4 linked regions of the Coturnix japonica genome follow. The protein of the gene in region 4 purifies or fractionates together with the protein of the main gene of each other region. This does not show direct contact. Links are inferred from orthologs where the notes say so. Each region holds a gene or a part of one and is shown on either strand. Other genes may lie near its edges.

Region 1 (3,958 bases), on a different chromosome or scaffold from region 4:
CCTCTTCATTAACCCACCAGAAAGCCCACAAGGACTACAAGGCAGCTGGTGCCCAGCCTGGATTTGCTCTGGCCTTCCTAGCTATTATTTCTATTTGAGTCCTCATATGGGTTCCCCTGTGAGGTGACCTACACAACAGACAGACCTTCTGCAGATTGGGAAATAGCATTACAAGATCAGCTCTCAGGGTATCAAAGTGTAATGGGGAAAAAGAAAAAAGAAGATGAGTTTCAACAAATGTCTTCTAGTCAAGTTCAATCAAGTACAAAAATACCTTTATTTTCTGGTGAATATGCCTCAGCGAATCCGCTGTGCCCATGTCCACGTTGTCACTGATGTACACAAAATCCAGCTTCATTTTCGTGTCCAAGTTTAGCATTTTTTGGATTTCCTTCCTTGTAATTACGATGACCTCTAGGAGAGGAAAGTGGGGTAAGATCAAACAACAGCAGCACTCTGGAGCTTTGCCTTTCACCCTGCCCAATCCTGCACAGCTCACTGGATACCACCACAAAGCACAGCATCACAAGGTATTGGTTAAACTATTGCCAACACCAGCCTGGCAAAGAAATGGAGTAGTTTGTGAACTGGAAGAACTGGTGTCAGGTAGAGGCCATAAGCCCAGACTTTAGCATGAATTCATTGAGAAGGACAAAGGCCTAAATATTAGGAAGGATGACGTGCTTGCAGCTGGGACAAAAGGGAAGCGGTGAATCAGACTGGGGAACAACTACTTGTTAACACAGTTAAAAAGAACCAAATTGTCACCTAACAAATAACTAAAGTTATGATCCAGGGAGGGGATTCATACTACTGCAGAATTTACACAAGAACGTGCTGCTTGGCCAGGGAGCAGAAGCAAGAAAAGCAAGGAGGTGGTTGGTTGCTTATGGAAGCTGCGTACATAAAACTTGCATATCCAGGTTTTCAAGAACATTCTTCACTAGGAGAGTGGTGAGGCCCTGGAACAGGCTGCCCAGGGAGGTTGTGGATGCCCCGTCCTTGGAGGTGTTCAAGACCAGGTTGGACGGGGCCCTGGGCAACCTGATCTAGTAAAGGTGTATGTTTGGTGGCCCTGCCAGGCAGGGGGTTGGAACTACATGATCCTTGAGGTCCCTTCCAACCCGGGTCATTCTGTGATTCTGTGATAGAAAGCCTCTCAAGGATTTCTTAAGAAAACAAAATAAAGGCAAAGGACTATATTGATTTTTCCCTTTGTTGCTGGGCACCAAAACAGTAATAAGCCAACCTGAATACATCTATTGGGTATATGCTAATATACTATGCTAATACGATACACTGCTAATTGGTACATCACCAGAAAGAACAAGAGTTTGGAAAAGGTCACATTCTCAACACAGAACACCGAAGAGATGCTCTATGATGCAGTCACTGAAGAGAAACAAAAGAAGCAGCAAAAAAGCCAAGTACAAAAGCAAAATCCCAAGGCCACCAGCTCCCCCTGTGCTGTTCTGCCCAAAGCCCAGCACTGAGCTGCTCAGTGCAGCAATGACTAAACACCTCACACAGGGCAGGTAACCCTGAACTTCAGGCCAAACTGGAACAACAAACCGAGAGCTATCTGAGAGAGCTGGCGTGCACCTCACAGCATCGTTATTAATGACTCACAGAAATAAACGTGGAGAAGACGCCAAAGTTATGAAAAGCACACGGACGTGGGGTCTTTAGAAAACTGAGGAAGAAGGAGTGAAAGGAGGAAGACTATCAGTTATTGTATTTTTAAACCCTAATCCCTAAATAGGAATCAGGTTCCTCTGAAGAGGTTCCCCCAGCTGCCCTTACAAAAGGAGCGTGTGGAAAGCAAAATATTTCAGTAAATAACACAGGTAAAAGAGAAAATGTTGTTTTCAGTGTATCCATGTATTAAACAGGAATGAGTTAAAGGACAGATCCTGTGCATCCTCATGGAAAGAATAACACTGAGAGTCAATGAAGGTCAGCACCAGCATAAAACAATGACAGAAACCAGAGCCTGAGCTTAAAGTCTGCAGCTGTAACAATCTTTGTAACTGAAGTAAATGCTCAGTCTGGAACATGGGTGTCCATCTTCCTGACACGCTTGGGCTGCACTGTGTGAAGAGGAATTATCCTGGACAGTATATAAAACATATAATAACAGAGACCATTTTGTTGAGGGACACGGTTTAGTGGGAGCTGTTGGTAACAGGTGAACGGTTGGACTGGATGATCTTTTAGGTCTTTTCCAACCTTGGTGATTCTATGATTCAAGCCTTGATGGGGGCTGTGGGGGCACAGGTGCGGCACTGACAACAGCGGCTCTAGTACATTAAGCGGCCTTTAATGCAGCCCAGCTGGCACAGCCCGGGCAGCGCTCACCTTCGAACCCGGCTCGCTCCAGCAGGTTCAGCGGGTACCAGAGCAGGGGCCGGTTTCCCACCGGGAGCAGCGGCTTCGGGATGCTGGACGTCAGGTCCGTCATGCGAGAGCCGCCCCCCGCCGCCATCAGCACGGCCTGGAACTCCATCTGCAACACAGCAACGGCACCGCTCACACACGGCAGCACCGGGCCCAGCCGAGGTAACACCGGTTGGCTTCGGCCCAGCCCGACCCGTGCCCCTGGTGGCTGCTCGGAATCACGCCCGTCCCCCCGTTCTGTCCCATGGCCGCCCCGCTCCGGCCCGTCCCCGCCGTTACCTCCGCTCCGCCGGCGCCCAGCACCTCTCTGACAGAACCACTATGGCGGCGCCGGCGCGCGGTGCGCATGCGCGTGGAGCGCAGAACGCATCGATGGCGGAGAGCGGCGAGAGAGCGCCGATCGCACCGATCCCATCCGAGCCTGGCAGCCAGGGCAGCGAGATGAGCACAGAGAGATGGACGAGTCGGGGATCGCTGCGGGGAGACACAGCGCCACCGTGTGGGCTGGGGTGGAACTGCACCGTGGGGGCTGCAGGATGCAATGCGGGGAGTCGGCTGTAGGGGGACGGGTATCTCTAGCCAGGCAGCAGGAAACAACAACGAGGTTGTACAGAGATGGGAGGGAAACACTGAACCCACAGAATCACGGGGACAAGAGGATAAGGATGGGGATACAACCATGGCCGGGGAAAGGACAGCGCAGAGACCCCACACAGCGCTCCCCACACCACGGACACAGCTGTGAGCAAACAGTTCTTTTATTGCCACTAGTCCCAGTTGTCCTTGTCGGTGTCGATGGACATGCAGTTATACACGGCGAAGCGCAGCAGCTCCTCGCACATCTTGACCCTGGGGGTGAGACACTGGGTTAGGCCGGGGTCTATCACTGACCTCCCTCCCACTGCCCCCCACGGTGGGGAGGCTGAGCGTCCTCATCCCCAGGCACTCACGTGGAGTATTTGGGCAAGTACATGGTGCAGGAGCACGTGGAGGCCTCGGGCATCATGTCCAACCGCTCAGGGCTTGGGAGAAAGGAGAGATGGGTCAGGGGTCTGCATGGCAGGACCACAGCCTGCAGGACAGGCAGACTCACAGGGAACGGTCCGGGTAGATGGTGAGCTGAACCGGGAGGCGGCTGCGGCCGGTGACAAACTTGAGGAAGCGGCTGAGATCCTCTGGGAAAGGACAGGGAACAGAGCTGGGGTCACCTTCAGGGCCTGGGAAAGCCAAGGGACACTCCCAGCAGGAGAAGTGACCCTGAAGGCCTGGCCCAGTGGGTGCAGAGCAGGACAGCGGTCACTCACCGCTGGTGAAGTTCTTGAGGGCATCCCAGAACTGAAGGACACGGGAGCTTTCAAAGTCCTCGAAGGTGACTGCAGCAAGGAACACACAGGGGCTCTGTGAGAAGAGCTCCACAAAGGACATCAGCATGGGGTGGATGCAGGACACAGGGCAGGATGCGTGCAGAGGATGAGCAGCATCCATGAGCGCAGCTTAATGCTGCCCACTACTTACTGAACTTCTTCAGCTCATCTACTGTCACCTCAGGGATCCCGCAGAC
Region 2 (4,193 bases), on a different chromosome or scaffold from region 4:
ACTGCGTGGGGACACGGGGGGTTCAAACACTCTGGCCAGGGTCTCCAGCCCCGCCAGCGTGAAGTCGATCTCACTGCAGAGAGACAAAGGAACACAAAGGCTGGAGATGCACAGGGACAGGGACAAGCAGATGGCCCCTCAGCCCTGCCCTCCTCCTGCCATCCCCATGTGCCACTCACCTGTGCAGTGCCTGGCAGGCAGTGACGAGAGCAGCACTGAGATGGCACAGCTGCGGGTGCCCACTGCACAGTGTAGCCAGGTCCAGTGGCAGGTGCTGTGCCAGGTAGTCAGCCATGAAGCCCATGAAGTCACTGGATGGACTGCAAGGAGGGGCAGTGGATGGGAGCGGAGGTGCCCGGGCTCAGAGAGGTGCCAGCCCTGGGCACGGCACTCAGGATTTGGAAACCACAGGGAAAGGCATTTTGTGCCCTGCTCCAGCTCCAGCATGAGCAGGGCTGGGTGTGGGCAGCCACCCATTAGAACATACCCTTGGTCTTGTGTTCTTGGGATGTGCCACCTCCACCCTGCTATGCTGTGCCCACCCCATTGCCCCTGAGGAGCACGTTACCTGCTATGAACCTGCTCCTGAAGCCTCAGCTGCAGCTGCTGTGAGATGTGGGGATGGGTGGGGGGAGCACCAGGCCCTGTGCTCCCCCCATTAACCCTGGTGGGCACCACGCTGCCCACATGGCCACCTCTTCCATCCTCCCCATCTGCGGGCACAGATCCCAGCTCAGCGCCATCACCTCTCTGCCGGCAGCCCCAACCCTTTGCCCCCATGCTCTCACCAGAGTCTTCATTGGCTGCTTCCCGGAGCCGGTGCACAGGGTAGAGCAGAGGTGTCACCAGCCCATTGTTGGGCTGCTGGTAGGCACTGATCAGCTCAGGGAGGCTCCGGAAGCACTTGGCCTGAATGCCCTGGATGCTCTGGGGGGCAGAGAAGATGGTGGCCACCGTATCCCCCCATCCACAAGCCAAACACCTCCAGCCAGGTTCATAGCTAGGGTGGGCGACGGGGGATGCTCTGCACAGTCTCACAGCAGGGATAGTGACAGAGAGGGGACAACATTTTCACTAAGCCTCCCCCAGATGCAGCAGCAGTGGGTGGCCGTGGGGATACCCGTGTGGCATCGTTCCCAGGCGGCTGCGCTGCAGAAAGGGTCTGTGCAAAGCTCACACATCCTGTGCTGCTGCACTTATGCAAAAAGCAAACCGCACCGCCCGCTACATGCAAGAAGCTGCAGGCTGCACCTCGCTGTGTGCTGTGCAGAAGTTGGAGGTGGGGGTGAATGCCCCCTTCCCTGAGCACTGCTTCCCGCACCCACCTGGACAGAGAGCAGCCCTTCACTGTTGGGCAGGATGCGGTAGGTGTGGACGTGCCGCTGGAACCTACGGGAGAGCAGAGCATCTGCACCATGTGCACTCTGCAGGCAGAGGAACTGAGCTCCTGCTTTGGGTAATGAAGCTGTTGCCTTGTGCCTGTCCCAGGGTGCCCCATGCCCCATGCTCCCCAGCATCATGTGTTTCCCTTTTGTACCATGCACCTGGCCAGGAAAGCCACAGGGAACCAGGGGGCATCCATCCAAACCCACAGAAGCACTGCCCATACATTTCCAGCGCATCTGAGCAGTATGTCCCTCAGTTGTAGGGGTGATCCACCCCAGCCCGAACCCCACGCCTCCACCAGCAGCACCTGAAGGTGCTGGGGCTGCTCAAACTGGCAGCTGAGAAGTTAACAGCAGGACCTGTGGTCCGGATGCTGGCGCGACAGAGGTTGAACACAGAGGTGATGTTTGTATTCACACAGAGAGGGCTGTGCTGGCTGCTTCCTTCACCCCACGCAGGGGCCAGCCAGGCACCCAGATGCACCTGAATGTGGGCAGCCCCACAGGGCACAGAATGATGCTCCATGGATGTGGGGTGGGAGCTACACAGGCCCCCCCGCCCCAGACTGAGCTGGGCATCATCAAAAAAGCACCATCACAGACAGCTGTGCAAAGCAGAAGTGGTTGCTGCACCCTGCACACATCCTTTTTGCTGTTGAATGATTTGCAGCCCCAACCTTGCCTTGCTGTCATGCTGCACCATCCCCCCACCCTGCTGCACGGACTGGGGACAAGAAAGAAGCAAAGAGCAGAAATAAGGTAGAACTCACAGGAGGCACAGGGCGTACGCCCCTGCAATGGACTCACTGTCCCGCACCAGGAAGCAGCCATCCCGCCCAGCCTTGGCCAGCAGATCTTCAGCCACCACCCTGCTGATGTCCTGGTGGTACCAGCTTGCTGCTGCCATTCTTATGGGTGGCACAATGTCAGCTGCACTGCGTTGTGTCCCCCACTCCACATGGGCTGATTGCCAAGGAAGGTGAAGGTGGGGGCCCAGAGGCTGGGGGTCCCGACGGGTGATGTGCAGCTCCTGCTCAAAGGGTGCCCCACACTGATCCCCCCAGCTGGGCAGTGCAGCAGGAGTGGATCTGGGAGGGCCGTGGGGTGAAGCTGGGGGTCTGGGTGCTCCGCATCATGGGTGGCTGCAGTCTGCAGTGTGCAGGGGGGCAGAGAGAGGCAGATCAGGGACCCACGGCAGCATCACCCCACCAGCATCCTGCCCTGCTGCACCAGGAACATGAGGCCACACAGGCATCCCAGTGGCATATGGAACCCCGTATGTCACCAGAGGTACTCACCGTCCCTCGCAGACATGACACTGCACACCCTGTGCCCCCACTGCCCGTCCCCTGCAGCCAGGCCCACTGCTCGCCGTCCCCGCTCTGCACTGCTGTGCTTGCCCACACTCTTCCTCCTTTATGCTCTGCACACTCCACATCTGGGACAGCCTCCTTGCTCCTCCTCCCACTCTAGCCCTGCTCGCAGGGGGAAGCCAGCAGCCATGCAGGGCACTGAGAACAATGGGGGCTTCCCAAGCACAGGGGTCTCACCACCACCCTGCTCCCATCCAAGCCCAGAGTCCCACCCCTCAGTTGTACCCAGCAGAGGGGATGGAGAGCTGCATGGCATCACTGCACTGAACCAGAGCTGGCAGTGATGGGGATACTGCTGCAATGTGGGGCTGAGCTCCAGCCATGCAGAGATGGTGATAATGTGGGCACTGGGTGGATGAGAAATGTAGGAATCCACTGCTGCATTCATTAACTCTGCTTGGGGGTGTCCCAGCTTCAGAGAAAAGGGATGTGAGAGGCTCAGGAAGGGCATGGGGACCATCACACTGAGGTTTTGCCCCTCGTGCCATGCAGTAAGCAGACCCCACGTGCCAGGAGCTGTGCAGGGCAGCTGCCAACAGGGCTGTGTTAGGGTGATTAGCACCACAGCACTGTTAATTACAGACAAGCTGCAGCCACCATCTGCTGCAGGAGAGACAGAATGGGGGCTTCACCACCCACGCCAGCCTGGCTCCTCCCTGCTCTTTGCACGATTTACTCCAGGCAGTTTACAAGACTGGCACGTGGGCACACCCTGCAGCAAGCAGCACCAGGCACAAGGATGTCCCCACCACCCTCTGCAATAACCTCTCCAAGGTATCCCCTGAGCTCCTGGAGCTCAGGAGGAACCTGGCCAACTCAAGTGGCTACCACCTGGTTTTGGGCTGGCAACTGTGGGCCAGTGGAATTCCCATCCCTCAGCCCATCCCAAGGGCAGCTGCATGGCATGGAGCAGTGACCAAGGACTCTACCACCTGGAGACCCTCTCCCACCAGTGCAGCTCCAGGCTGTTACTTAACCATTCCCGTGGCTGTGGGTCTGGCGGCAGGCAGGATTAGTGCTGACCACAGTGCCTAATCCAGCTCAGGGCAGGAAGGCACGGCACTGCCAGAGGCTTTGGGATATCATTGCTGTTTGTCTGTCTGCACCCATCAGATCATCCTGTGTGCACGAGTGGAGCTGCACGCAGCATGGGGACCCACAGGTAAGGCTTTGTGATGTTCATCAAATAGGAGAAAGGCAACACTCAGGGACAGGGTGGCTGCAGAGTCCAGTGTCCCATCGCCCATGCTGCAGCCACACTGAGACGAGTAGCCACCCAGGTGGGGCTGCACCCAGACCTCCACCACTGGGAAGGTCACAGTTCACGTGGCCCCTGCCCTTGGTAGAAATAGTGCCTGCTAATCTGCAGCGTAAGCAGCTCTGTGCATGCAATTAAAGAGATCACAAGTCCCAGCCCCTGTCAGCACATGCTGGC
Region 3 (4,040 bases), on a different chromosome or scaffold from region 4:
TTCAAAGTAATCACCCAGGAAGGCGCTGCTGTCACAGCTCTCTGAGGAGTGCTGGGCTTGTGTTAAAGGCACAGCTCAGTGATTAAATCATGGAGGTCAGGACGCTGGTGAGGGTGATGTCCCCAGCGATGCAGAGCTTGGTCACCTCGTTCAGCCTCTTCTCACGGAAGTTGAACTGCAGCAGATGAGCATCGTTGGCTGCCACCTTGAAGTGATCCCCCTCACAGAGCACCTGGAGCTGGAATAGAAACATCAAGTGAGCCAGAATGGAACCAAGGAGCACCGGTCACCTTTGCTGCACTGCAGGAGCCTGACAGCAACCTGCCCCATGGTGACAGCACAAAGAATGCAATGAGAAATGGGAAGAACAGCTTTTCTTTCCTTCTTTTATTGTTACCTTGAAGGGGGACCCAGGTTCAAATGGGAACCTAGGAGCTGTTCTCTCCTCCTTCCCCCAGTTGTTGTTGATCATTGAGTTACAGACAATGACCCTTTTGTGGTCTTCGTTGAAACGGGGGTTGAAGTGGAAGGCAATGTCTTGGCCCCTCTTGAAATCCAGCGAGAACCTGCCAAGGCAACAATCAAAGAGCTGCTTTTTCAGGTAACGACAGAGCAGTGCTGGAGGATTTAAGAGACTCTTTTGTGTCACGTTTGATTTCAGAGAAGCTGGATGTCATTCAGAAAGCGAACTCTGCCCCTAAACACTGCTGCAGCCCGTCTGTACCTGTTGGGATTTGGGTTGATGGTCCCGGTGATGGTTATGAGCAGCCGAGGCACCAGGCCTGATGGCAGGGGCAGATCGTAGGGGACTTTCTGCAGAGGACAGGGATGTGGTGTGAGCACAACAGCAGGTTAACGAGCAGCACAGGACTGACTGTCAGACAAGGGCTGGGTGTTGGCGTGACAGCAATGTGACAGCAATGTGACTGACTGCTCGTGCAACCTGCTGAGGACATTCAGCTCCAGGTCCCTCCCACAGCCCAGCTCAATGAGGAACTGCTGAACCAGAAACCCTTGAAATAGGACAGAGCTGTTACCAGTGGAGCGGATGGAGTTCCAGAGTATGGTCCTGCTGGTCCTCCAGGGTATGGTCCTGGTGGTCCATGATGTGGTCCTGGTGGTCCATGATGTCCTGGAGGTCCATGATGTGGTCCCGGTGCCCCCGGGTACGGTCCTGGTGCTCCAGGGTATCCAGCACCTGGGTACCCAGGGTACGGTGGAAAGGCCCCAGGTCCCGGGGGCTGGTTCCAGCCCTGGGGTGGGGGGGCACCAGGGTTGTGAGCAGGCAGAGCATCGGAGAGCTGGGGATGGAGGGGAGAGGAGGAGGGGGAAGAGAAGCAGAATCCAGTGGGGCTGCCAGCACATGGCCTGCATGGCCTGCACAACACCACGTGCTGGTGCTGAGAGCCCCAAAGTCCTTGAATGCACCTTGATTGGTGTTACACGGATTGGCAGCAACGTGGAATCATAGAATCACAAAATCATTACGGTTGGAAAAGACCTTCACAATCAGCATCAGCCCTCAGTGCCACATCCCCAACTTCCCAAACACCCGCAGTGATGATTTCCCCACTGCAGGTCCCCACCTCCATGCAGTGCCCCCACAGAGCCCTGTGTGTTGGAAGGAGCCGATACTCACAGAGAAACCGTCCGACATTGTCCTATAACAAAAAAGACAAAGGATGGGAAGTCGTTTTATTGCCCTCCCAGCTTACACGGCTGGTGGTGATTCACCATCTACACCATAACCAGGCCCAGAGGTGCCTCATGGTTCCAAATCCAAAGAGCCCGGCCTGCAGCTGGGATGGGATGGGAGAGGAGGGTCCTATAGGGGGACCCCCCTGTGCCATCCCTATGGGGACACGTGGGCTGCAATGGGATTTACAGCCACCCCAAAAGGCGAAGCTGCGCCGTGCAGAAACGCTGCGGCCTGAGGCTGAATTGCTGCTATCAAAGAGTGCATTCATGAGCAAAGAGAGAAGGGGGGGAAATAAACGGGGAGAGGCAAAAATGGGAGGGAAAAAGGAAAATTCCGAATGGAAAGTGGCAAAGTTCTCTTCTAAAGCAACACTGAGCAACACCAAGGGCTGAGTAACACCAAGGGCTGAGTAAACCCAGCCGGGCTGCTACAGCAATACGGAAATCAAGCTGAGTTTCCCCAGCACCAAACTCTTCCTCCAGCAAAATGCAATGCAGAGCCTGCGTGACTTCCAAGCAGGGACTTCCAAGCAGGGACTTCAAGCAGTGACTTGAAGCAGTGACTTTCAAGCAGCCCTTCGGGCACCAACTGGCAGCGATGACTTTCAGCTGCCCCCACTTTGCCGTGCAGGATTTTGCCCTCTGCTTTTCCCACCCCTCTGCTTCCCATGGTGCAGGTCGGGCCTCTCCAAGTTGGGCTGTCCCAGCTCGGCCAGGCAGGTGCCAACGAACCCCCCGAGTCCTGAAAGTCCCACTTTATAATTCATAGAGCGGTTAAGGCTGGAAAAGACATCTAAGATCATCGAGTCCAAACCGTGTCGACACCCGGCTCAGCCTTTGGGAGAACCCTTCATTGGGAAACCATTTGGGTTCAGAAGCAAAGCAACGTGCAGGATGGTGGGCAAAGCCGTACAACCCAACTGCCCAGGGGTGGCAGCTCCGTCCAACCCGGTACCCGCAGTCCCAGAGCTCCCCTACTCCCCTACCTGCAGCTGTCGGGCCGCGCACCAAGGCGGGGTGTCGGGCTCTATGTTGGGGCCGGGCAATATCCCCACCCGGAGCTGCCCGGCCCCGGGGCGGAGCACAGAGCACGGAGCATTGAGCAGAGCCCAGCCCCACGGGCAGCGCAGCACCACGACACCCGCGGCGTCCCCTCCCAGCGGTCTGAAACGTCACCACATCGAGCACCGAGGGCTTGGACGCATCGATGGTTCCGGCTCATTGCGGGTCATCACCCACCCCGACAGCGCCCGGCGTGAGTCATGGGATCATAGAGCCATAAAACCAACAAGGCTGGGAAAGAACTCGGAGAACGAGCGGCAGCCGATGGCCCAGGGCAGGAGACCAGCACAGCGGGTTGGATTCACTCGTGATTGATCAGATGGAGCCATGGCAGCTGTGCAGTGCTATGCAGTGCTGTGCAATGCAATGCAGTGCTGTGCTGTGCTGTGCAGTGCAGGCTGATGGTGCACAGCCCAGGATGGGGCTCTTTTCCGAGAGGTTCTCCTGTTTTTCTCCTCCTGCTGCAGTTACACAACGGCCACGGTGTTACGAAATCAGAACTGAAAACAGGAAACGGAATCTGAGCGTGGCTCCGTTCCTTCGTTCACCTGAATGGGCACAGGACGGAGCTGCGGGGCTGATGGGTCGGACCGTGAGGGCACAGTTTGCTCCCAACCCCCCCGGGTTTCTCCCATCGCATCCTTTGATCAATCCCGAATCAAACCAGAGCTGAGCAGTGCAGCTGAGCCCTGTGTGCTCCCCCCGCCCCCGGCGCTGCTTTCCCAGGACATCCCGGCACCGCCGCACCTTAAAGCAGCGCCCAGCACTCCGCATTTCCCTCTAGGAACGGCCCTTGATAGGCTGCCCTGCAATCATCCACGGAGCTTCAGCCTGTTAAACTCCGTTTATTGAGGGGATTTGGCGTGATTGCCTCGTAGCGATGTTTGCTGTGCGGCTGCCAGCTGGGTCAATGGGCTGCACAGCTCAGGTTGGGAAAGGGAGGAGAGGGCAAAGAGGTCGTTGAAGATGAAGAAGTGCATAAAACCAAGTGGGGGATGTGGCTCTGGGCAGCCTGGGCTGCTGGTTGGTACCTGCACACAGCAGGGTTGGAGCTGGATGGACATTATGGGCCTTTACAACCCATTCTGTGATTCTGTGTGTTTCTGTCATCCCTGAGGACACTGAATTCCCCCAGAGGCAAAAGTCCCCACCTGAATGGGAGAGTTATTTACATGGGCTTAAATCACATCAAACCCAGAAACTGCTGACTGGAAATGAATGATTCCCATCTATTTTATAGGGCTGTTTGGATTTTAGTGAGCCCATAAAACTGCAAACCA
Region 4 (3,511 bases):
CTGGCTGCAAATCACTATTTTCCTGGTTTCTCTGTGTTTCAACAAGTACAGGAAGTGGAAACTACCCAAGGATGCTGTGCATTTTCAACTTTGAATAGCATTTCATTTGTGTTTAAAGGCAATGCCTCTGGCCATTTTTGGCAAAACTGTTTTTACTCAGACTGTAACAGCACCTGGAAGGCTGTAAGTATTTTAAATCGGGGAAACTGTTCTGGGTCATATAAGGGCTAATATAATTGACTAGATGCTGGAACAAGGGGTGGTCACCACCTGAAGTGGTTTATAATGATAATGGCATCCCTTAGGCCATGGTGGTCTGTACTGGAAGGGAGGATGAAAATAGATCACATTGCTGAGCAGTCACTCCTCAGACTACCGGGCAAGGGTCAAATACAGAAGCTGCAGGAGATGACAAGAGGTGTTTTAAAGAAGCAGGTGATTTGATTTCAGTTAGTGAGAAAGGTTCAGTGAGACAGAGGAGGATTAAGGAGAATTACAAATTTATTATTAAGACATGAATTTTATCTGACTAAAATTGAATTATTTTTCACAGTTTCTAGACTGAACATTTTATAACAGATATGAGTATTCTAAAAATTAAAGAAAAATGATATAAAAACACTGAGAAAGATTCATGACTGAATGGCAAGACTGCACTGTTTTGACTTTTGTAAAGTATTTTGTGTAAGTATGAACATGTATATAACTATATAAAGTAAGAAAATCCAATCATTTTGTTTTGATTGTTTTTCTTTTATCATAATTTATGCCTGCAACTACTTTGACATTGGCTATAAACTTTAACCTAATTAGTTAAAAACAGCTTGAAGTAAAAACTGCATCCTGGGTATTTTTCAGTAAATTCAGATTTAAATTGATTAAAATCTCAATTGATAAAATCTCAATTTTAACAGGTCTTTTCAAGCTACAGTACTTATCCACTATTTTAACAACTCTTTTCCTGTAAGGAAGTGTAATCTGTTCATGCTAACTTGGCTGTTCAATAGCTACACATTCCCAAATTACTATGTCTTCACTTAAGTTTTTTTTTTTTTTTTTTTTTTTTTTTTGCGTGTGTGTGTCTGGTTTTTTTTTTTTTTCCCACAAGACATAAGAAAGACCCTATGTGACTATGAGGCGCTGTGGATAACACATGTAATGGTGGAAAAACACATCCTAAAGTTCTCTCTTGTTTTTTCTCCCCCCAAAACAGATCTTGCTCTCTATTTTTCCCCCTCTCCCCCATCTCTGCCTGACCATGGCAAAGGGTACACCGGAATTCAAGAACATCTCATAATACTGAACTACAGCCCAAAGTACTCGTTTGTTAAGCTAGGTCTATCCTTACAGGTCCAGTGCAGGTTGCGTTGTGTGCAGTGGAGTTCTGCACCAGACACTCCGAGTGGCAGGGGAGGCATTTGGAGTCTCTTTCAAACTCACGTGGCTCCCTAGAATAAAAGAAAAAAGAGAAATAATAAAACCCCAGATAATTAGTGAGGATTAAAATTTGTTTGTCTTTCCACCTCCTGGCTTTTCCAGCTTGAACCCATTAGGATGATTGTCCTGACACAGGGGGAGGTGTTGGGACCATCTTGTCTAATGTCATTACACCAGGGGCACTTTCTCAGCTCAGTGGAGAGGTAAGGGAAAAGGAAATTTGATGGCAGTGGAACACATGGCACTCAAGGACACATACTACAAATGAATTTACTTTCCATTTTAAGCTAATGACACAGAATATTACCAAAGGTTTCCAGAGGTTTTTAAATGACAGTGGTACAAATAGATCAGCAAAATAATTTCAAATGTTTCTAAAGCTTTAAATAATAATTAGGAAAGTTAAAGAGCAATGCTCTGATAATTAAATTCATGCTCAATGAATCACTAAAATATGAAAGTTGGGAACAGATGGTTTCAATAGCAATAAAGCTGTTCTAATTCAAGTAATAGTGTTATTAATTAAACAACATCTACACATCATAGGACACAAAAAATGCCCAGATCTGCCCTTCAGGTCATAAAAGATGCTGGAAGGAATTCACTTATGAAAGACAGCTGCTGAATGGCAAGCTGACAGACAAATCATCATGGACATGAACATCCTGTCAAGCTCTTTTTTAACACTTAAGATTTTAGTAAGAAACAAGGGCAGAAGTATTTACACCAACAAATTTATGGGTGGCAAAGCGTTAATCTATTGCACATTACTGAAGATCATCATATTTTTTGGTGCTATCCATGCTTTCCCTGCCTGTATCACCTGCTGAACTGCCTGAAAAAAAAAACAAAAAACAAAAAAACAGCCACAGCCTTGATACAAAGACACTGGTACGCTTTCCTTGACCCATGAAAAACTGAAGCAATATTTTTGCCTGAAATTACGGCACCTAGTTCTCTGCAGATGAAGCCTATTTTTCCCTTAACTGCAACACTGCATATTGGAGGGGCAAGTTTCTCATCTGGCTGGTGAGCAGGATCTCCCTGTCCACACCAGGGTACCCTCTGCTGTTGCTGTTAACTACATACCTGAAGTGAGAATCATGTCTATTCCCAACCTGTGCTACTTGATCTAATAAAACACAATGCAGTTCAGCAAATCCAATATGCTGAGCATGAGAACCTTTGCAGCAAGGAAGCCTATTCGGGGGTGGCTATGTTTCTACAACTGCCTCTGTGGTTGGTGATGACAACTAATTCTGACTCTTGCCTGATGCGCTTAACATGACAGGCACAGATTGAGATTTTAAATTTCTCTACACCATTTTGGAAGGAAAGGTAATATTTAACCTCCGTGATAGCTTCCCAGCTTGCCTGATTCTCAAGAGCAGTGGGTATGAGCAATGTTGGGCCTGAATTTTTCCCTATGCCTGAAAGTTTCCCTGATTTTTATTTTTTTTTATTTTATTTTATTTTATTTTATTTTATTTTATTTTATTTTATTTTATTTTATTTTATTTTATTTTATTTTAGTGGGGGGGTGGGGGTAGGGGGTGGGAGGTGTACAGTGCTCAGGCTAACACCTCTGCCACACCAGTGAAATCTGAAGACCCTATGTTTTAGTCACTTGCTAGCCACATACACTCTAAAACCAAAACCCCTGTGTGCCTGCATGCCCCTTACCCTTGCAGGATGTTGCACTGTTTCACACACTCCTTCTGACGACTGAAAAACCTGCAGGAAAAGCAGTGGAAGGGCCCTGGGCCCCAGCAGCCCACATCTGAGCACAGCGGGTCACACACATGCCTGTCAGCAGCTGAGAAAAGAGAAGCCATAAACTTCAGGGCAAGAGAATAGCAAATAACTCCATCCTGACAGTCATTTTTTTTCCAAAGTATTCCAAAGCAGACACAAATGACCCTAGTAGAAGAGGAATAATCACAGTTTTCCTAATTCCTGAAGTTTGACTTCTTGTCTTTGTTTTTGGAGCAAATTCTGGCCTTTCAAAATTCAAATGAGATCCATTGTGATCATGTACCAGACTTACAGTAAAGCAAAACCAATACCAGAGGAG

What was found.
Region 1: the proteins of EGFR (region 4) and EIF2B3 purify together in Homo sapiens (affinity purification with mass spectrometry; 4 studies listed by BioGRID and IntAct, with this or other methods). This does not show direct contact. The link is inferred for Coturnix japonica from reciprocal best matches to the Homo sapiens genes EGFR and EIF2B3.
Region 2: the proteins of EGFR (region 4) and phosphatidylinositol 3,4,5-trisphosphate 5-phosphatase 2-like purify together in Homo sapiens (affinity purification with western blotting; 3 studies listed by BioGRID and IntAct, with this or other methods). This does not show direct contact. The link is inferred for Coturnix japonica from reciprocal best matches to the Homo sapiens genes EGFR and INPPL1.
Region 3: the proteins of EGFR (region 4) and LGALS3 purify together in Homo sapiens (affinity purification with western blotting; 3 studies listed by BioGRID and IntAct, with this or other methods). This does not show direct contact. The link is inferred for Coturnix japonica from reciprocal best matches to the Homo sapiens genes EGFR and LGALS3.

What each region holds. Positions count from the first base shown.
Region 1 is NC_029523.1:18,532,016-18,535,973, forward strand, and holds the start of EIF2B3 (translation initiation factor eIF-2B subunit gamma), read right to left. Parts: upstream 2,807-3,958; 5' UTR 2,746-2,806; coding exon 2,677-2,745; intron 2,507-2,676; coding exon 2,359-2,506; intron 415-2,358; coding exon 275-414; intron 1-274. Other genes in the region: E3 ubiquitin-protein ligase HECTD3-like, read right to left, coding at 3,165-3,246, 3,348-3,419, 3,491-3,572, 3,702-3,770, 3,913-3,958. UniProt on the Homo sapiens protein: Acts as a component of the translation initiation factor 2B (eIF2B) complex, which catalyzes the exchange of GDP for GTP on the eukaryotic initiation factor 2 (eIF2) complex gamma subunit.
Region 2 is NC_029519.1:1,200,259-1,204,451, forward strand, and holds the start of phosphatidylinositol 3,4,5-trisphosphate 5-phosphatase 2-like, read right to left. Parts: upstream 2,807-4,193; 5' UTR 2,684-2,806; intron 2,535-2,683; 5' UTR 2,293-2,534; coding exon 2,156-2,292; intron 1,390-2,155; coding exon 1,326-1,389; intron 928-1,325; coding exon 789-927; intron 714-788; coding exon 569-713; intron 321-568; coding exon 180-320; intron 74-179; coding exon 1-73. UniProt on the Homo sapiens protein: Phosphatidylinositol (PtdIns) phosphatase that specifically hydrolyzes the 5-phosphate of phosphatidylinositol-3,4,5-trisphosphate (PtdIns(3,4,5)P3) to produce PtdIns(3,4)P2, thereby negatively regulating the PI3K (phosphoinositide 3-kinase) pathways.
Region 3 is NC_029520.1:51,128,933-51,132,972, forward strand, and holds the start of LGALS3 (galectin-3), read right to left. Parts: upstream 2,807-4,040; 5' UTR 2,685-2,806; intron 1,662-2,684; 5' UTR 1,658-1,661; coding exon 1,640-1,657; intron 1,302-1,639; coding exon 1,038-1,301; intron 814-1,037; coding exon 725-813; intron 567-724; coding exon 398-566; intron 239-397; coding exon 83-238; 3' UTR 1-82. UniProt on the Homo sapiens protein: Galactose-specific lectin which binds IgE. May mediate with the alpha-3, beta-1 integrin the stimulation by CSPG4 of endothelial cells migration.
Region 4 is NC_029517.1:73,942,657-73,946,167, reverse strand, and holds part of EGFR (epidermal growth factor receptor), read right to left. Parts: intron 3,254-3,511; coding exon 3,121-3,253; intron 1,449-3,120; coding exon 1,349-1,448; intron 1-1,348. UniProt on the Homo sapiens protein: Receptor tyrosine kinase binding ligands of the EGF family and activating several signaling cascades to convert extracellular cues into appropriate cellular responses.